Saccharomyces cerevisiae S288C: one gene and its partners. The gene in region 1 interacts genetically with each later gene. Each region holds a gene or a part of one and is shown on either strand. Other genes may lie near its edges. The genes, in order: DUN1, VID22, POL32 and BMH1.

Region 1 (3,766 bases):
CGAACGGTATGTTCGTTGTGAAATCCATTAAAATTAACACAGGCTCTCAAAAAGGAGGCTTGATGAGCTTTATTAAAAAAGTTGAGGCTTGTAAAAGTTGTAAAGGTCCGTTGAGGAAAGGTGAAGGCCCTCTTTGTTCAAACTGTCTAGCAAGGTCTGGAGAATTATACATAAAGGCATTATACGATGTCAGAGATTTAGAGGAAAAATACTCAAGATTATGGACACAATGCCAAAGGTGCGCTGGTAACTTACATAGTGAAGTTTTGTGTTCAAATAAGAACTGTGACATTTTTTATATGCGGGTTAAGGTTAAAAAAGAGCTGCAGGAGAAAGTAGAACAATTAAGCAAATGGTAAAAAACGATAGGGTGGCACATCATATTAGGATTAAGAAAGGCTAACAACTTTTTGCATGTTGGTGGATATATATGTATATATAAATAGATACTTGGAAAAATCCAGATTCAAACAATGTTTTTGAAATAATGCTTCTCATGTTTAGAGGCAAGATAATTCTGAGTATGTTTTGGGTATTTTATTGTCAGTAATTTGTAAACGCTGCAATTCTAATGAGACCGAGCTTTGTTGCTGTATGTCATTGAACCAAGGGTGGTTCAAAGCTTCATCTATATTGTACCTTTCATCAGGATTTAGGACCAAAAGATTGGATATTAAATGTAGTACTGAGTCATCGATTTTATCCCAGTACGGAGAGTAAAACGCATACTTAGCTTGTAAGATCTGTTCCTTCAATGAAGGTGGCCCCAATTGATCACTGAATGGAGGAAAACCACATAAACAGACATATAATATGACACCAGCACTCCAAAGATCTACTTTTGATGTGTATCCTTTCTTTGTGAGGACTTCGGGCGCTACATAAGAAGGCGTACCACAAAGTGTGTTTGTGAATTGCATTTCTCCTGTAAATTTTGCTAGGCCAAAATCCGCTATTTTAACTTGAATATCAATTTCATCTTCATCCCATGGGCCAAGTTGGACTTGACTTGGATTTTCGCGCCTTGTTATATTTAATAAGATATTTTCTGGCTTGATGTCTCTGTGAATGATGTTTTGCTCATGCAGATACTTCAATCCGGTAAGTAACTGTTTGAATAGAGCTTTGGATTCATCCTGTCTCAAACATGTTTTTCTGACGATTCTTTCAAATAGTTCGCCATCGTCGATCTTTTCCAGTACCAAATATTTTTGAATCTGAGATTTGCTGATTGGCTCTACAAAACTATCTAGTAAGTTGACAATGTTTGGATGTTGCACTCTCATTAGGATGTTAGTTTCCTCCCTAAATTGTTTATTCTTTTTTTGGTCGTCATTTTGCTGAGCGTGGAATATTTTCACAGCTACTTGCTGACCAGTTTTTTTGTTTTTGGCTTCTTTCACCAGGGCGTAGTGCCCTGCACCTAATTCTTTACCTAATAAATATTTATCAAAGAACGACACAGGCCTTGTCTTATTCAGTTTTCTAATTGCGGCACTCGTTGTAGCATTTTGGCTACTTGTAGCACTTATTTGCGGTTTCTTGAAAACTTCGTCGTCGTTCTTATATGAACGACTTTCTGAACTTACCTTTTCATCGTCATTTTCGATGTCAGTAGAAGATGAAGATGCGTACTTGAACAAAAAGGAGCAACTTTTGCCAAAGACAATTCTGTCACCATTCTTAAGGATGTAGTCTTTCTTCACCAAACGATTACCATTAATAAAAGTTCCGTTTCTGCTCTTATCGATAACATTAATCAAATTTCTTTGGAAATTATCCACATCCATTTGCAGTAGATGAAACTCAGCATGGAAAGTCGAGATGTCAGGCTCACTCAATATAACGTCGCACGACCTACTTCTACCGATTGTAGTAACGTTTCTATTTGTTATTTCCACTTTTTGCTCCTTTCCGGGTATTAAGTTCACCAGATGGCCCAGACAAGTGTATTCTGAGCTGGGCTTATTACTTCGTTGCTGTCTTTTGAATGAAGAGTCAGTTACATCACCAGAGTGCTCTCTTTTCGTGGACAAACTCATCTTCACTATAATTGCCTTTTTTACTGTATGTTAAGCCCCTTTACTTGTTACTCTCGACTATAAAGGGTTCTCATTTCCTCCTTTTTCAACAATATCTAATAATTTTCCAAAATCATTTGAAAAATACCATGGAAATAAAATGGAAAAAAGTAAACAAACGCGTCGCGTCACGTAATTTTTTTCTTTTCACACACATACCATCGTATTACTATTTTTTCTATGGTTATATGTCGTATGTATCTATTTATGGTATTCAGGGGCTTCTATTCCTTATCTTCTAACTCATAAATGACTTTGCCATCAGTAATAGGGTTATATTCTTTGTTTAGGAACTGTGAGAACTTTGTTAAGTTATTTAAGCCTCTGATTTCTCCAGCACATAATGGCATTTTAACGACATGGAAATCTTCGTACAATTCGTCGATTTGGTCCAAGTACTTCTTTTGCATCTTCCATCTTGCCTGACATCTCTTACAGTTGTGCTCTTGATCGTTTTCAGCAAATAATAATTGGTTGACAATGATGGAATTAACGTCCATATCGTAGGAAATCAATTCCTGAATTAGTCTTTCAGTTTCATATAAGGATAAGAATTCACTGATACAAACGCAAACAAAAGTCGTTAGGTCAGGATCCGTGAATTGTTGTCTGATGGTCTCGACATTAGCCTTTAACTCGTTCAATTTTCCAGAGATATCGACATTACCTGCGCCCATAAAAGAGTTTAGCATTGGGCCCAATTTGTTGGTAATTTCACCGAACTTTTCCAAAAGCTTGGATAAAGTATTTGGTAGTTGTAGAAATCTTAATGTGTGGCCAGTTGGAGCAGTGTCAAAAATAACAGTATCGAAGGTTTCACCTTCGCCCTGTTCTTGCCTTTTAATGTGCTTCATGACTTCCATGAAGGATAAAGCTTCGTCGATACCAGGGATGGAACCGGTCAAATCAGCAAGAGCACCACCTTGAAGCAAGCTTCCTAGATCGTCACCTTGACCGTCACTTCCGTTATTGTTAGCGCGTGAAACTGCCATGTCGTTCATATCCTTCAAAGCAGCGGATGGATCGATTTCCATACATGATAGATTATTCATGCCTGTCACCTTTCTGGCGTCTTTACCAAATTTCTCACCGAATGCATCACTTAAGTTATGGGCAGGATCAGTAGAGATCAGTAGGAACTGTTTGTTTGGTTGACTCAAAGCCATTTGGATAGCAATGGAACATGATGAAGTAGTCTTACCAACACCACCTTTACCACCAACGAAAATCCACTTATGAGTGGTAGAGGTAATTAAAGAGTGCAAATTAGGTTCCACGGTTAAATCCATAATTACAATGTGATGATCTTCTTGTTCTTGTCGTACGTTTTCCTAAACGCTGCGTTGGCTTCCCTCAACTTGTTTGAAGTTGCCACCGTTTTATCCATTTTCGCTTTTGAAAAAAAAAAAATGGTTGAGAATCCCCAGCACTATTAATTAGTACTATTGTTACGAAGATCTTGTGATAAAAAAGGGATGTAATAATTTGCATTGAACCAACCTGAATTGAGCAAGTTTATCATATAGTTACAATGTCTGAACAGGAGTCTGATGAAGTTAAGCGTATGAAACAATTGGAAGAGGCTAGAAAGAGAGTAGAAGAATTGAAGAAAAAGAAAAATAAAAAGAATAAAGGTAAGAAGAATAAAAATAGCAGTGCCACAGGCTCTATAGGATCTGAAACTC
Region 2 (7,766 bases), on another chromosome or scaffold:
TTGCCATTGTTATTTGCATGTCCAGGTGAAGATATGCCTGCGTTGAGGAAATATATTGGAGACCACCCAGATTGTTCAGGAACTGTAATTCAACCAGAATACAACACGAGTAATCCTAAAAACGCAATAACTTTCTTATACTACGGTGCCAAGCAGAGATATCAAGTTACATTATATGCTGCGCAATACGCTGGATTGCAAACGCTTTTGGAAAAAATAAAGCAAGGACAAGCAGCTATTATAAGCAAAACGGAGATGTTCAATGTAACGAAAATGAGCGATAGGTTCTTCGATTACACCAACAAAATTAACAGTGTTACTTCCTGTGATGGGGGTAGAAAACTTCTGATTGCAACGAACTCTGGATTGTATATGAGCAACATTAAAAGACAGCAGAATAAAGATCATAGACATAAAAGCTCTGCTTTTTTTTCAACTCCAATCCAACTAGTACAAAGAAATAATATCACTCAAATTGCTGTATTAGAAGAATTCAAATCAATCATACTTTTAATTGATAAAAAATTATACAGTTGTCCGCTGTCATTAATCGAAGCAGAAGGTAATGGGACATCTTTCTTCAAAAAGCATCACAAGGAACTGATCAATCATGTGAGTTTCTTCGCAGAAGGAGATTGCAATGGTAAGAGATTAATCGTGACTGCACACAGTTCATCGCATTCAATTAAGTACTTCGAGCATGAACATCCATTATTGGCCGAAAAAAATGGTAGTGGTAGCGGTAACAAAAAAAGTCTCAAGAAAAAAATCACCGAGGTTATTTTTGATTCTGAACCTGTCTCTATTTCATTTCTCAAGGCCAACCTATGCATTGGCTGTAAAAAGGGTTTTCAGATCGTTAGCATTTCACAGAATGCTCATGAATCCTTGTTAGATCCGGCCGATACATCATTAGAGTTTGCACTAAGGGATACTTTGAAACCAATGGCAATCTATCGTGTGGGAAATATGTTTTTGCTGTGTTACACAGAATTTGCCTTCTTTGTCAATAATCAGGGTTGGAGAAAGAAAGAATCGCATATTATTCATTGGGAGGGAGAGCCCCAAAAATTTGCAATTTGGTACCCGTACATCTTGGCATTCGACAGCAACTTCATTGAGATCAGAAAGATTGAAACTGGCGAATTAATTCGTTGCGTCCTTGCTGATAAGATTCGACTTCTACAAACAAGTACTCAAGAAATCCTGTACTGCTACGAGGATTATCGCGGGTATGATACAGTTGCGTCGTTAGATTTCTGGGGTTAAGATAGCAACGTATATAGACTTTCCTTATTTTCTTTAGAATAAAAAGCATAACTAAAGTTGTAAAAGGAGCAGAATTATGAATAATAAACATTGATGACAATAGTGGAAAACGACATAAATAATAATTTTATAATATAATAATGATAATTCACCGTCAGAGGGATTTGTATGCAAATGATTGATGACGCGAGAAAAAAAAACGCGAAATTTTTCTTCCCAAAGCTTCGAAGTTTTTATTCCGTCCACAAAGTGAAAAATTTTCAGAAAATTTTCCAGACTGTGAATAAACAAAAGGTTGGCTTACGCATTTGGCTTGTCTTTTTTTTTTTTCACAGGTTCTTAGTAAATAATTGTATAAAATATTTATCTGGAGTCTTCTGTTTGTTGTTTAGCCTTGTTTGAAGTTTTATTTAACTTATTACCCCAGTTAGGTACTGTGTATTTTCCGCATATCTGGTGTCTTTTTATTTGGTCATTGATTGGTTTTTGACAGCTCTTCACTCGCTTCAAGCTTACTTCTAGTTTATTTATTCGGCTTTTTTCCGTTTGTTTACGAAACATAAACAGTCATGAACACTACCACATCTACTGTTATAGCAGCAGTTGCCGACCAGTTCCAGTCTTTGAACTCTTCTTCTTCATGTTTCTTGAAGGTTCATGTTCCTTCCATTGAGAACCCATTCGGTATTGAATTATGGCCAATTTTCTCCAAAGTGTTTGAATACTTTAGTGGCTATCCAGCTGAGCAATTCGAGTTTATTCACAATAAGACTTTCTTGGCTAACGGGTATCATGCTGTTAGTATTATTATCGTTTATTACATTATTATCTTTGGTGGCCAAGCTATCTTACGCGCCTTGAACGCCTCTCCATTAAAGTTTAAATTGCTTTTCGAGATACACAACTTGTTTTTGACTTCTATTTCTCTAGTTTTATGGTTGCTGATGTTAGAACAGTTGGTTCCTATGGTTTATCACAACGGTCTATTCTGGTCTATCTGCTCTAAGGAAGCCTTCGCACCAAAATTAGTTACTCTTTACTATTTGAACTATTTGACCAAATTCGTAGAATTGATTGACACTGTGTTTTTAGTTTTGAGAAGAAAGAAGTTATTGTTTTTGCACACTTACCATCACGGTGCCACCGCTTTGTTGTGCTACACTCAATTAATTGGTCGTACTTCTGTTGAATGGGTAGTTATCCTACTAAACTTGGGTGTTCACGTTATCATGTACTGGTACTACTTCTTGAGTTCATGTGGTATTAGAGTTTGGTGGAAGCAATGGGTCACTAGATTCCAAATTATTCAATTTTTGATTGACTTGGTATTTGTTTACTTTGCTACCTATACATTCTATGCTCACAAATACTTGGACGGTATTTTACCAAACAAGGGTACTTGTTATGGTACTCAGGCTGCTGCTGCTTATGGGTATTTGATTCTAACATCTTATTTGCTTTTGTTTATTTCCTTCTACATCCAATCTTACAAGAAAGGTGGTAAAAAGACAGTCAAGAAGGAATCTGAAGTTTCCGGCTCCGTTGCATCCGGTTCTTCTACTGGTGTCAAGACCTCTAACACCAAGGTCTCTTCCAGGAAAGCTTAAATAGGAAGCGAGAATTTTTGACAGCGAATGAAAAAGAAAAAAATTAAATGTTAACATTTTCTTTATATTAAATATGTACGATAAATGAAATCATTATTATAGAAATGATAGATTATTGGCTTGGTGTTTTTCCCATTTTGATTAATCATTTCCTTAGCTGCCCAAAGAATTGCACGCTTACAGTGAGGAGTAGTGATACATTACAATTATAAAATAAAATTATATAGCAGCTAAAATTTAAAACAAACAGACTTTGTTCCTTTGTATGTCCTATGGAAGATACTGACTTGCAGTTTGTAAAGTGTCCAAGTCGTAATCCACTTTACTTGCCACGAATTGATCATTGAATAATTTAATTTTAATAATCTCTTGAGTTAAATCGGGATGTACTCTGGGAATGAAGTCATTTAAAAATGAGTACTCTCCCCTAATGGAGGAAGATGACTGACATTGCATTATCTTGAACAAAATTCTAATTATCGGCCCAGCATCATTATCTAAGTATTGGGACCAGAACGCGTTACACACAGGAACATGGATATCAAGTAACTCTTCAATGAAGTTCATTGGTTGTTCTAGCTCTCCAATAATAGAGTCCTCTGTTATTATTCTCTTCTTGAAACGGCCACTATCTCTAATGAAATTGCTTTGTTCACAATACGACCTGTAAGATATGGGTACGATGGAGTTTACTGTACTCAAGTAATCATATAAGTCCTCTTGAATGATTTGTAAAAAGATACTATCTATTTCCTTTGATATGGTAGAGTCCGATAAATGATGGGTATCGCTAAGAGAACCAAATGATAGGTTATTATTGCTATTCTGTGGTTGTTGTTCCGGTAATACAGAATTTTCTCCACCAGTAGGATCTATATCTATTCTTGATGCGGGCGTATTTGAATTCGAGTGGTTGTCGTTGTCGTTATCATGTTCGTTATCATTATTGTCGCTGTTGTTGCCGCTTCTATTGTTGATGTTGTTCGTCTGATTATCAGTGTGAATGTTCATGTTGCTATGATTGGAAGTATTATGACTGTTGTTAACGTTGCCTATTGTGTGTAAATTCAAAAACCTTTTCAATAAACTGAAAATTGATGTAGAAAGTTTGTCGACTATTTCAGAAAGTGAAATGGTATGAAAAGAATATTCCAGGACTTCTCTTTCGAATAAAATCGCAGGACACAAGAACATTGCTAAAAGGTTCATATCGTCTGAAAATAAAATGGTTTTGAATTCTTGAATTTTAGACAAAAATGTTTCAAATGGTGCAATTAACCGTTGAAATTGTAGGCTGCCCAAGGTGGACAACAGATGCTTTTCAATAGACATTATGGCGAACAAAACATAGGTAAAGTTTAAGCTTTTGGAAGAAGTAAAGAACTTTAGTATTCTATTGATGGAATTCAAAGTAATTAATAAATAGTCTATTATTTGAAAGTCGATTTCGTTGAATTTTTCAATTTGGATAGAAGATTGATATTCTTCTATTATGGGACGAAGGTTCAAAAAAGTTTGCAGTGAAACGGTGGCGGTAGAGTAACGGGATAAATCGAATTTCGAACAAACGAATTCGAAGCCAAATTTTTCACACAATGAACGGAATTTATCTAACTGCCACGAATTAGATTGTAAATCATCCAAAAAAGAATTGATTCTGGAAAAAATGGAATTCGAAATATCTATATTTGACAAATCAATTAGAGAGTCCAATAAAGTCAAAGGTTCTTTGGAGAATGATGATTGTCTCGGATGCGTAATATCGGCGGATTTAGGCGTACCGAACAATGGCAATATCGCAGAATTTATTATGGAAATAATGCAATTGTGATAATAGTTTTTAGCATTCGTATACGTATTCGGGAAAAAGGGTTGGCTATCCATTACGTTTAGTAGATCTACTATTTGAGATCTTGGTAGAGTGATAGAAATCACAGTATTTTGTAAACCAGGTAATTCTTGTGAGATTTTGAGCAGTTGAGCTGGAATAGATAGTTTGGGGTCATTGTTATATTCATGTAAGTTTTGGATGATAAGGGGTAAAGTCTTTACTTGGGAATGAAAATCATCATAGTACTGAATACTCAATATAGATATCGTGTTATTCCAAACGGAGTGGCTTAGAGAGAAAAAATTGATTTTTTGCATTTCAAATAATTGGTTCTTCAACCTGTTTGATAACTGATTAGATCTATCGGTTGGGTCCATTAGTAAGTAGTTTTTGTCGATAATCAACGACAAATCGGAATTGTTTCGCAAAGCTGTCCTTTGAATGATTCTATCGAGATTATATGCGATGGACCTGATAGCATTCAGAATTAAGTCATGGTCAATGAAGCTTAGTGAGTTGGCGTTCTGATTGATCAAAAGGCGTACGGCAGTGTTGTCTACGAACGACAGAGGCAAGTTTTCTGATGCAATTATGATCGCAAGCGACTGCACAAGAGGCAAGGCCATTTCTTTTTCCCTAGTTCTCTTCAAAAAGTCCTCGTCTATTTCCAGCAGGTTAGCAATGCTGTTCGTTGTGGCGCTACCGCCTTGATGGTTCTTCAAAGGTGGTCTGACCATAAAAGTAGAACCTGCTTCTACGCCCGTCCATCCGCTATAGTAATTGGCATTCGGGTCTATCTTATGCGTGCTCCACAAATGAGTTTGCGAGGCTTCCGCCATGCTTATGCTGTTTCCTTGCCGTCTTATTATCACACCGCAGTACTTGCATTTTACTGCCTCCAGCATCTTGTCTACACCCAGAAAATGGCCCAAGTAGCGTGACCTGTCTCTGGTAAGCATATATGCGGGCACCCATTCGCTACCATCCTCTGCTAACGACTCCCTTTCCTCATCTCTATCTCCATCTGTATCTGTATCCGTATTTGTGGCCGTCGTAGCCGCCGTCGCCGACGATACAGTTGAATTCATGGGAGGCAACACCAATCCTCTTTCAGCACTCTGTACCTGTGTGTCCATCGCTCTCATATGTGCTCTCGTGCTTGTTTATCCTGTGGATGCTGCCAGCAAACTCTCTCTTTCCCATCTCTTGATGGTTCATGTTATGTGTTGTTTATTGTTTGCTGATCCCATTCGCGCTTTCCCGGCCGTGGTAAATGACTACACGGTGAATAATTGCGCCATTTTTTCGCCGTTGCGGTGTTTTTTTTGTAGCCGTTGGAAGCATGGCAGTACCATCTGGAACAAAGCAACGGTATAAAGAAGACAGACTGTTGGTAAGCGCTGCATGTTGGTGACAAAAAGTTGGTTTCGAGAAATCAGGGTGGGTGTTTTTTGTGTGGCATGTGCAGCGAGCGATGAGTAATGCAAACAATAGTGCTATGAACCACATCACGTTGCCTCCCATCTCGTCATTTGACAACCTTATCAAGGCAGCCGAGAGACAATATAATGGCGAGGCTTCGTCCGCCTCGACACATCCGACACTGCCTAATATGAACATTAGTAACGGCAGTGGCAGTGCGGGCGCATCATCGTCGATGCTGAGCTATCAGTTGCTTCCGCACTCCAATGATGTGTCCCGGTCGAACTCCAGCTCGAGCTTCCTTCCCTCCGTGCAGCAGCCTACGGAAGGTTCCGCTTCTGCATCGGAAACTTCTTCATCTGCATCACCTTCACGTTCCATTTCACCAATTTTAAAAGTGGCTGGTCCTTCATCTGTTGGCGGTGCCGGGGTGAGTACCCCCCATAGCACCAAAATCAATAAGCCAAGGAAAAAGAAGCAATGTCCAATTTGTCGTAATTTTTATGCCAATCTGACCACGCACAAGGCAACGCACTTGACGCCAGAGGATCGGCCTCACAAGTGTCCCATCTGCCACCGCGGGTTCGCCAGGAACAATGACTTATTGAGGCATAAGAAAAGACATTGGAAGGATGAGATACTGTCCCAATCGGGAGTACTTTCGAACCATAATGATGGTAAGGGAGGATCCGTTTCTCCCAATGATGATGATACCCATGAAAAAATGACACCGATGAATTCTGTCACAGATTATGCACAATTGAAATCGTTGCATCAAATCAAGGGCACATTCAAGTGCCCATTCAACTCCACCTTAATACAATTGGACATGGATATGTACCCGTATAAACTGAAACCTTTAAATTTTGAGACTTCCAATTGTCACCAGACGGGGGTGTTCTCACGTTGCGACACCTTCAAAAACCATTTAAAGGCTTTGCATTTTGAATACCCGCCAGGCACGAAGAAAAAGGATAGAAATGTTGTTCCTGGTAGATGTAAGCATTGCGGCCTGAAGTTCGAGAACGTTGACGTTTGGCTCAACGAACACGTAGGTAAACAATGCGGCTATAAATACCATTGATTCCCGGCAGCATAACGACTTTTCCCCTGTTTTTATTAGTACTAGTAGATATTTAATTTATGTATCTGAGTTTTTAATGTTTTTTTTCCTTCTCTTATCATTCTTCAAGTGCGGCTATCCTTCTGTACTGTGGCCTGCCGTCAACAACTTCTCTGTAGATTATCAGATCCATTCCCTTCATGTATGAATCAGGTAGTTTTGTGGGGTACAGTGTAACGCCGCTTTTCCTCTTGATTGACCACTTATCAACTAAGGTGTTTTCGATACCATTATAGAAGTCTGTGGGAAAACTTTTGGTGATGATCCAGCAGCCCAAAAATTCTCTTAGTTTCCTTAGAATCTTAAACAGTTTTTCAAATTTCGATAAATTTATTACATCATAGTTTTTGTCGCTTTCAAAATTCAAGAAAGACAAATTGTCGATTACTATTCCTCGTAATTGAAAGTTGAAATTATCAACCTGGCACCTCCTTAACGCATCCATGGGAGAGTCATACAGTAACTCTAGAAATACGATTAATCCCGTGATGTTTATGCAAGATAGCGAATTCAT
Region 3 (3,560 bases), on another chromosome or scaffold:
TGAGGGACAGAGAAGATTGGGGCCAAGCGCTGCGCCTATTGCTTTTGCTGATTGAATTCCCTTATTTACCAAAACATTACTTGGTTTTGCTTGTGGCGAAATTCCTGTACCCAATTTTCCTTTTAGATGATAAGAAGCTAATGGATGAAGATTCAGTGGCGACAGTCATTGAAGTTATAGAAACTAAATGGGATGACGCTGATGAAAAAAGTTCAAACTTATATGAAACCATTATTGAAGCAGATAAAAGCTTACCTAGTAGCATGGCAACACTTTTGAAAAATTTAAGAAAGAAACTAAATTTCAAATTATGTCAAGCGTTCATGTAAATCAGTATAGTAATGTCCTTCGGATGGTATATTAGGATATATGACGAAAATAAGTAAATTTAAACAACAATATATATTTATATTGATCTATTTTTCTATCACGTAAGTTGACATTTGTATTATACATTACATCACAATTAGTAATGGAAAGTGTTTGGAAAAAAAAGAAGATTATTTTGCCTTTCTTTTGAAAAAGCTTTCCAATGTTCCTTGCTTTTTTAACCTTTTATTCGATGACGGCGTTTCTTGCTTTTTTGAAGACGACAATGCCCTTTTTACCACGGGTGATGGCTTGCGTGGTGGTGTTGAAGTTGCGGGTCTCTTTGTCACAATATATCCATCCTCATCAATAAAAGAGGAGGGCTCTTCTTCAGATTTAGGTTCCTTTGAATGTTCTGTTTCAGAAGGCTTTGTTTGCTGTATTTTAGGTACATCCATAAGTGAATCTTCTGCTGTCGTTTCCAACAAGTCTTCTAAATCATCGTTGTTTTTGTCCTTATCGTTGCTGTCAGTTTCTTTAGGTGAGTTGGGCTTGGACCCTCCATTTACTTCCTCTGTATCTAAGTCATCTTCGACAAAAAGATTATTTAACTCTTTCATTTGAGCTTCTCTTTCAGGGTTCTGTTTATTTATTTTTTGCAAGTTCTCCTCTTTCCTTTTACGTAACTCATTTTGTCTAGAGGTTTCCTTGTCATCTCTATCCTTTTTCATCTTAGCCAGCAGTGCAGTAGACCTGAGACCCATGTCTTTAGATTTGGATTTCCTTCCGGTTGTTTCTTCTGGCGTGGTCTTTGATCTTGCTGTAGGCCTTACCAAAGGTTTAGATTTCTCTTCTAACGTCTTAGTCCTCTCTATAATTTTCGATGATTCAGAAACTTTAAGTTCGTATGAATTTTTAATGGTTAAACAATCCTTTTGATCGATAATGTCGTAATATGGTATGAAGCTGTCCATGGGATTGAAGGCATAGATGAAACAATCAATTATTGAATCTTGCTGTGGAATGTTGGAAAGATCATGAATAATTTTAATAGTTTGATCTTTGTAGCAGCATATCACTACGCAGTTGTATTTGGCATTGGTGGTCTGTTTGTAATAGTCAAACATTAATTTCTTGGCCATGGATGGGCCGATCTTCAAGTGGTGAATTAGATCCGTAAAAAGGACGGGCTTTACCTCAGTGAAGAGCTTCTCATTGATAAAATATGACGCCTTTTGATCCATTAATTACCGATTGAGTTAACTAAAGCCTATTTCTGGTTGTTAGTTAATGTGAAATATTATTTCGAGCTGATCTGATTGCGATGTAACGAACTTCTGCGTACTTTTCAAAATTAAGAGTTTCGCGTGTTTAACTCATACGCGTTTACTACTTCCGTCGGAAAGTTACACCGTAGTGGAAAATAGACCTATTCGTTAGTATAACCTTATTAAGGTACTTCCATTAATGAAGTGTTCTATATTGAGGCATACTGATCGAGAATTTTCATAAGGTGAAACGATAAAAATATAAAAATTAAGCTTAGCGCCGCTCGGTTTCGATCCGAGGACATCAGGGTTATGAGCCCTGCGCGCTTCCACTGCGCCACGGCGCTTAACTTTTATGAATATTTTAGACTTAATAAAGATTCATATTGTAAAATTAAAAACAACTTGCACACTGAGCTGTGTTAGAATGAAATCCTACTATAATCCATAGTAGTATTCATGTCACTAGCACATTACAAAATATGCCATAGGAAGATGACGTAAAGATTGAGAACTAGTCATCAGATATAATAGAAGCTGAAAAGCAAGAATTGATAATATCGGACGCTATCCTACAATAGCAGCGCAGTTGCATAATTTGTTATGTGTCGTCTTTATTGTGTGTAAAGCTTTATACACCTTTACCTTTGTGTAGAAGACAAAGACATTGTTGTTATCACTATGTCCACATTCGCTACGAGGATATTTTCAACATATCTAGTTGAAATACAAATCTCAAGCCACTATAAAAACTGCGGAATCAAACAAATGTACAATACATTATCCTACTAGAGACTAATTTCTCAAGGTTTGCAATCCCATCTCTTTTCATGAGGTATATTGCGGCACAGAATGGTTGTACGACCATTGCTCAACGTTTCCGCTCATAGATCGATTCAAATAAGATTATAGACATGTGGCGATTCAATGCCAATCCTTATCCCGAAATTACGGATGTATTCAGCCAACTTTGCCTATCTACATTATTCTGTCAACTAGAGGCTAAAGACACGAATTTCTTGGCATTTTTTGTTTGAAAACTTGAAATGGAAGAAAGACAGAAAGTAATTTTATGTAATCTATTATATTTAAGTAGTTCTAAAAAAAAGGAGAAATCGACGCCAGATTTCCCACCTTGAGTAGAGTATCATACTATATAATATCAATGTACGGTTCACGCACCCAGTTGGCTTAGTCTGTTGAGGGGATGAGTAATTGTTATATATTAACCAAAAAGGGAATCATCTTCGTTGAAATCTTTTTTGAAAAACCATTTAAAAATAACAATACTAGAATATATGATAAGACCACCGATCATGCACATGATACAACTCAAATGGCCAATCAATTGGCAATGATAGAAAACAACAGGGAGTGCTATACCGCTTGTCACCAGCATTCCTGTAAGGAAGTGAGCCAGATCTTGGCCAGTGTTTGATGAATCGGACATGAAGTCAGATGTGTGATATTTATTTCCTGCATTGAAAATTGTGTTTGGTATTGGGGCAAGCAAAAAGATCAAAATATCGAATAGTGGGTAGTAATTATGGAATAATGCGCAGCTTAGTATGACCAAAAGGAATCCCAATGCGAGGAATCCTGACAGAGAAATAATCTTTGTCAATGGTGACACTTTGAATTCCATCATAACCGTCTGGGATTTTATGTATTAAGATTCTTTGCCTTTTAGATTTGATAAATATGCGCCGATATTAGACGTGTGTGTGTGTGTGTGTGTGTGTGTGTGTGTGTGTGTGTGATTCCCCTTTTCTAGTTTTTCTCCTACTCTTTTTTTCTCAGTTTTTCGTAAAGTGGAGTGAAAGCCCATCTAAGAAAAAGGCATAATAAAATGTAATAATTTTGAGGAGTACATTTGGGTATAGAACAGGATCAAACTAATTACAAGAGATACATGGCTTTCCCGCTTAATGCGAGGAAACAGTACTTATATAAACGATATATGTTTGGGGCGTGTATATTATG
Region 4 (5,801 bases), on another chromosome or scaffold:
ATGGTACGAACATGACCTATCCTGGTGGGAGTGCGAAGAACAGCTCCTAACCCGCGGACCAATTGTGATGGTTGGCGTTTGAATGAAGCAGCAAGCATTGGCACAAATGTGGTTTCCTTTCTTATTGCTGTATCCAACTTTTGTGAAGATACAGGTGCGACAAACATAAAAAAGTTCTTGCCGTTAAGAAGCTAAAGTTGCTTCTCGCTATACCAGAGGGGATTATTGTCGGGAGTCATGATGCGACATTTACCCGGTTGAGTAAGGAAGGGGTGGAGGAATCAGAAGAGAGATAAATAAACATACACGTCAAAACAGTATAGTTCAAGTAACACATATAGACATGTACACGCGCGATTACGTGTGTACATGCACATGTTAATGTTATATACATATATAGATATAGATATATAATTGCAATAATGAACTACAAATTATTACACCCCCGTTCTTTTTTTTTTCTTTTTTTTAGTAATTTCTCTTTAGATTTATCAGAATACTTACTTTGGTGCTTCACCTTCGGCGGCAGCAGGTGGCTGCTGTTGCTGATGTTGTTGTTGTTGTTGTTGGTCTTCAGCTTGACCGGACTCGGACATGTCTGAAGTCCATAAGGTTAAATTGTCCCTTAGCAGTTGCATGATAAGTGTGCTATCTTTGTATGATTCTTCAGACAGAGTGTCCAACTCAGCAATAGCGTCGTCAAAAGCTTGCTTGGCCAAATGGCAGGCTTTGTCTGGAGAGTTTTGAATTTCATAATAGAAGACAGAGAAGTTAAGAGCCAAACCTAGACGGATTGGGTGAGTTGGGGGTAACTCTGTGGTGGCAATTTCAGAAGCGGTCTTGTATGCTTCTAAAGAGGCGTTTGTGGCCTTTTCTCTAGCATCGCCACTAGAAAATTCAGCCAAATAACGGTGGTAGTCACCCTTCATCTTATAGTAGAAAACCTTGGACTCGCCAGTGGTGGCTGATGGAATTAAGTGGGAGTCTAGCACGGACAAAATATCGTCGGAGATCTTAGTTAGTTCGGTCTCAATCTTCGAACGGTACGAACAAATCAACTCGACCTGGTGTTCGGACTTCTCCTTGGACTCCTCCTTTTGCTCAATAGAAGAAACAATTCTCCAAGAGGCACGACGAGCACCAATAACGTTCTTATAAGCAACAGACAACAAATTACGCTCTTCGACCGACAACTCTTGGCCAGAGGAGGCAACAGTCTTCATGTTTTCGACCATTTCTTCATAACGTTCGGCCTGTTCAGCCAACTTGGCTAGGTACACAGAATCTTCACGACTGGTTGACATTTTTATCTTTAGTTTATCTTTAACTTGCTTTTTCTTCTCACTTGCTTGCGCTCTCAATTTTGAAAAGTAGGAAAAACTAAGTTATTTTTGCAGAAACTACACGGTTTTATGTTACGGTTCGTCTCGTTTTCAGGTTTAAGGTCCAATAATAAAGAGTTTCCTTTTCCTTTTTCCTTTTTGCTGCGCGTGGAAAAGCGTGTCTTTTTCTCATACCCCTGTTTTTTTGTTTTTTTTTTTATTTTTTTTGCTTTTCTTTGCTTTTTGCCTCGTCCCCCCGCGCCCCGGCCACAAAGAGGAAGCTATTTGCCACCGAGCTTCCTCTTTTGACTCCAGGCCGGAATAAAGTAGCTTCCGCAAAACTTCGCTCCACTTTCCAAAGAGGAAGCCCGTCACGTGGCTGCGCTGTCTCCCCCCCCCCCCCCCCTTTTTCCCCTGTGTTTTCGATCTACCGATTTTCTGTTCTATAACTACGTCCATTATCTATCTATATCTATCTATCTCTGCATTGCGCAATCAATACATAAACAGTGGATTTTCTTGCCGCCGCCTAGCCGGCTAGTAAGCTGTGAGATCAGTGAATATGACCTCTTGTTCCTCGAGGTAGGTAATGTAGTCTTTCCATAGGGGGTCTCCTTTTCTTAAGACATTCTTGTTGCCCACCACAATTAGTCCGTGCTTGGCTCTTGTCAATGCCACGTTTAACCTTCTTTTGTCACGTAAAAAGCCGATTTTGTTTTCGGTGTTATTTCTGACACATGAAAATATGATGAAAGATTTTTCGTGGCCTTGAAAGGAGTCTACGGTCGCGACGTGTAGGCCGTTGATGATGTTAATCACATTGTTTTGTAGACTGCCGGCGGTTCCTTGAGAACCAGCCGCGTTAAATAGCTCAATTTCATCGTATTCTTGTTGCATAGAAATCTGTTTGGGGTTGATAACTACGTTTTTGGTCAAGATGTCAGACAGCAGATCACGCTGTGCAGAATAGGGCGTTATGACACCAATTTCTTCCAGCGGAACCTTCTTGTCCAACATTAGTATTTGGATAATCTTCACGATTTCTACACATTCGTGTTTGTTTTCGTACGTAAACCCGACTATGTCTCTTTGCGTGCTTCTCACTCTGCTCTCGGGCCCCAAATCGCACTGATAAAAAAACAACGGATGCTGCACGCCAGGCCATGCCTTTTGTTCGTCCGTGACACCGTCCTTCAATTCACCATTGTATATTTTCTTAATGGGGAATTCGCTAATTTTTGGGTGCATTCTGTACTGCGTATCCAGCATTAGTGGGTTTTTGTACGTGCCATTAGATAGGACTCTTTCGAATAGTGAGGTTTCCAGTTGAGGGATGTTGCTGAAACTTGACAATTGCTTTTCGTCCCCAACGAAGACAAAATTTCTTATACCTGGTAACGAAAGTGGGACTAGTGTTGAAGCCTCTGATGATTGTGTAGCCTCATCCATTATTACCACGGGACATTCTTTTATAACCTTCAATTCACGACCACCTGCAGCAATGTTTGTCGTGAAAATTATTTGCGATTGAGATACGACCTTGTTGGTGACACGGTTTTTCTCTTTATAAAACTTCGTGTCCTCTGATTTGGAGATCATTTCGCCCCTGCGGGTTTTGTTTGCCACGACTTGCATGTCTGGGGAAAGATTTTTGTATACAATATTGTGGAGACAAATTTCGCCCAATGGGTGGTCATCACTATACTGTTGTTCTTTCTTCTTTGACAAAATTCTTAAGATCTTTATCTGCGGTCTATTCTCCATAATCTTCTCGGCAATGTTATCAATAGCAATATTTGACGCGGCAACACACAATATTGGGAATGCGTGAAATCTTTCAATTACTTGGATGATTATCTCCTCTATTGTTGATGTTTTACCTGTACCAGGTGGGCCTTGTAGAATTGTGATACTGTTGTTTAGAACATGTTCCACTGCAGTCTTCTGAGATCGGTTCAACTTGTCACTGGAAAATTTTAGCCTGTTATCAAAATAAATCTCTTTAATAGGCTTTTGGCCTAGTAATAGGTCAATAAATTTTGGGTTTGTAATACGCGTCATGGCAAATAGAATTCTACTTGTCTGCGCAGAAGTTGGCAATAGCTTAAATTGAGATGAACCATTTTTCGTTGGCAAACTCAAATTATTCCACGAAAAAAGCTCCACTAACAACACGTATTTACCCCTTTGAATAGAAAGTTCTTTGATAAAAATATACCAAACTTTTTGTTCATCCTGAGTACAAAAGAAAAATGGTTGCCTTTCATTAAATGCCGGTCTACCGAGTGCAAGCAAATTTGCAGGTAGTAATTTCTCAAGTTCTGAATTATTATTCTTCTCAACGTTGATTATAAAAGCTGTATCTTTTTCATTGCGAGGCCATAGTATGTTGAAGTTTTGAACAAATTCGTTCTCTAATTTCTGTTCCAAAAAAAGGGCAAATGAGTAATCATTTAGGTATGTGTTCAAATCGGGGTATGATAAGGTTGACTTAAAGGTATTATACCTTGTGAGTGGTTCACCTTCTTCGTAAATAAGTTTCCCGTCCTTAGTTTTTCCATTATTTTTCTCTTGATTTTTTGTCTCCAACTTTTTTGGCATCGTTGTTGTTTTTGATTTTTCATTCAGCGTCGGCTTGCTAGCCTTCTTATTGCGGTTTCGCGATTTAGTAATTGAAGTTGTGTTCTCGTTTGGGCTAATACTAGGTTCTCTAGAAGATTCAGTATCAGATCCAATTGTCCACCTGCTAGTTCCCTTATTTGGCTGGTTATTTGATTTTTTGCCAAGTGCATTCTTTCTGCCAGCTGAATTTAGTTTGGCCTCTCGCGGATTCTTATTACCCGTTTTATCATTGCCCTTAGTCTTCTGGCCAGCATGGTCTTTTTTCCCTTTTTTCAAACCAGTAGTATTAGTACTGCCCGACCCGTTTCCATTCAAAGCTTTTGGTTGCGGTAATTGGTGCTTATCCACTGATTCGTTCTTGCCTTTCCCTCCAGAGTTTGTTGTAACGTGGCTATTGGTATTTTTTCTGTCCTCTGGTATAGGTTGGCTGTTACGGACATTATTTCTAATGTTTGTTTTCCTCTCTTTCTCTTTTCCTATCCCATTTCCACTATTCTTTTTGTGGTTTGCCTTATTTCCTTTCCCTTTGTTTCGATTTGATGGGCCAGGATTACTTCTACTAGTCTCTGATTTGCTTACTTTTGCTGCAACTACTGGATCGCTTTCCACCGCTTTGAAACCTTTGAAGTTTCTTAGATTGGAACTACTAGAGCTTTGAATGGTACTATTTTCTTTCTTGACTTCATAAGCGATTCTACTTATTTTGGCCTCGAAAGTTTCCTTTTTCTCCTTCTTAATCTTAGCACCCTTCCTGCCCTTCTTTCCTCTACCAACTCTTCTGCCGCCCTTTTTTCTAGGCTTTCTAGTGCTATTCTGTGTTTCATTCAGTCCCAAGTAGATGTATAGGAATCTTCCACTTTTTTCAGAAACAAAGTCTTTAGCTCTATTCGATTTGGGCAAGCACTTGTCACATAATACTTCTCCATTTCTATTTGCATTCAAGTTAGACTCTTCCCCACACTCATCACAACAACATTCCCTGACTTTCACGTACTTTTCCCAAAATTTCAATATAGAGCCGTTTTGTAATGAGTAGCTAGTTGATGGACGCTCCGTTTCTGAATATTCTTTCCGAAAACACGAATTACAAAGTAAAACCATGTCTTCACCCCCAAACCTGATGATTTGAAGTTGGTGTATATTTTTATCTTGACATTCCTCACAGCAAATATCTTCATCATTTGAAGTGTCGAATACAGTTTTATGCCTCGTACTTGAGAGATGCTTCATCATCTGCTCAGCATCATAAGCCTGGCTACACGTTCTGCACTGAAAATCCATCGTGTAGTACTTCTTAGTCTGCGGAACTCCTTATATTGTCACAACTTTGTTCGAATTCTTCAAATGATGAACTTACATTATACATCACTCTTGAGCATTTTAAGACTCTAAAATCGCATACAAATAGCATCCATTACCCGACTACACAGGAATAAAATACGGCGGAAATATAAAAAAAAAAAAATAGCGGCATCTTCAATATCTCTGTACTGATTACTAAATAGACGGTAACCAATTCACGTTGCCGATCGAGGTGTGACACATCACTGTCATGTTCATTTTACAATTCTTATTGAGTGAGAGCGCTTGTATAGAATTTCTATCTTTCTTTTAAGAGGTGCAGTTCAAGTAGGATTTAGTTGGAAATGATAACTTGTTTGAGTAAGCTTTGGTTCCGCTTGTTATGACCTGCTTCATTCTCATATAACCTCATTTGTTAAAAATCTAAAAAAGAATCAATTTCTTCGATTATAAGTGCGTACCAAAAAAGCGGCTAATTTTGGTATTTGTGATATCAAATATACATTGCAACCCAATTTTCATCATTGCGCTTGAGTTTACTATTTCAAGTCGGTG

The links.
Region 2: mutations in DUN1 (region 1) and VID22 together harm fitness more than expected from each alone (negative genetic interaction), as found in Saccharomyces cerevisiae (5 studies listed by BioGRID, with this or other methods).
Region 3: mutations in DUN1 (region 1) and POL32 together harm fitness more than expected from each alone (negative genetic interaction), as found in Saccharomyces cerevisiae (5 studies listed by BioGRID, with this or other methods).
Region 4: mutations in DUN1 (region 1) and BMH1 together harm fitness more than expected from each alone (negative genetic interaction), as found in Saccharomyces cerevisiae (7 studies listed by BioGRID, with this or other methods).

What each region holds. Positions count from the first base shown.
Region 1 is NC_001136.10:279,807-283,572, forward strand, and holds DUN1 (serine/threonine protein kinase DUN1), read right to left. Parts: upstream 2,043-3,766; coding exon 501-2,042; downstream 1-500. Other genes in the region: DNA-directed DNA polymerase delta POL3, read left to right, coding at 1-359; guanine nucleotide exchange factor GET3, read right to left, coding at 2,306-3,370; BUG1 (Bug1p), read left to right, coding at 3,613-3,766. UniProt on the Saccharomyces cerevisiae protein: Transducer of the DNA damage signal. Phosphorylates SML1 on serine residues. Cooperates with the PAN deadenylation complex in the regulation of RAD5 mRNA levels and cell survival in response to replicational stress.
Region 2 is NC_001144.5:865,516-873,281, forward strand, and holds VID22 (Vid22p), read right to left. Parts: upstream 5,853-7,766; coding exon 3,147-5,852; downstream 1-3,146. Other genes in the region: Rho family guanine nucleotide exchange factor ROM2, read left to right, coding at 1-1,269; fatty acid elongase ELO3, read left to right, coding at 1,839-2,876; STP3 (Stp3p), read left to right, coding at 6,182-7,213; PSY3 (Psy3p), read right to left, coding at 7,311-7,766. UniProt on the Saccharomyces cerevisiae protein: Has a role in the negative regulation of gluconeogenesis. Imports fructose-1,6-bisphosphatase (FBPase) into the intermediate vacuole import and degradation (Vid) vesicles. This is an indirect role and requires cyclophilin A.
Region 3 is NC_001142.9:515,961-519,520, forward strand, and holds POL32 (DNA polymerase delta subunit POL32), read right to left. Parts: upstream 1,554-3,560; coding exon 501-1,553; downstream 1-500. Other genes in the region: NUP85 (Nup85p), read left to right, coding at 1-329; VPS55 (Vps55p), read right to left, coding at 2,803-3,225. UniProt on the Saccharomyces cerevisiae protein: DNA polymerase delta (DNA polymerase III) participates in chromosomal DNA replication.
Region 4 is NC_001137.3:541,114-546,914, reverse strand, and holds BMH1 (14-3-3 family protein BMH1), read right to left. Parts: upstream 1,305-5,801; coding exon 501-1,304; downstream 1-500. Other genes in the region: PDA1 (pyruvate dehydrogenase (acetyl-transferring) subunit E1 alpha), read right to left, coding at 1-98; ECM32 (RNA helicase), read right to left, coding at 1,860-5,225. UniProt on the Saccharomyces cerevisiae protein: Involved in growth regulation.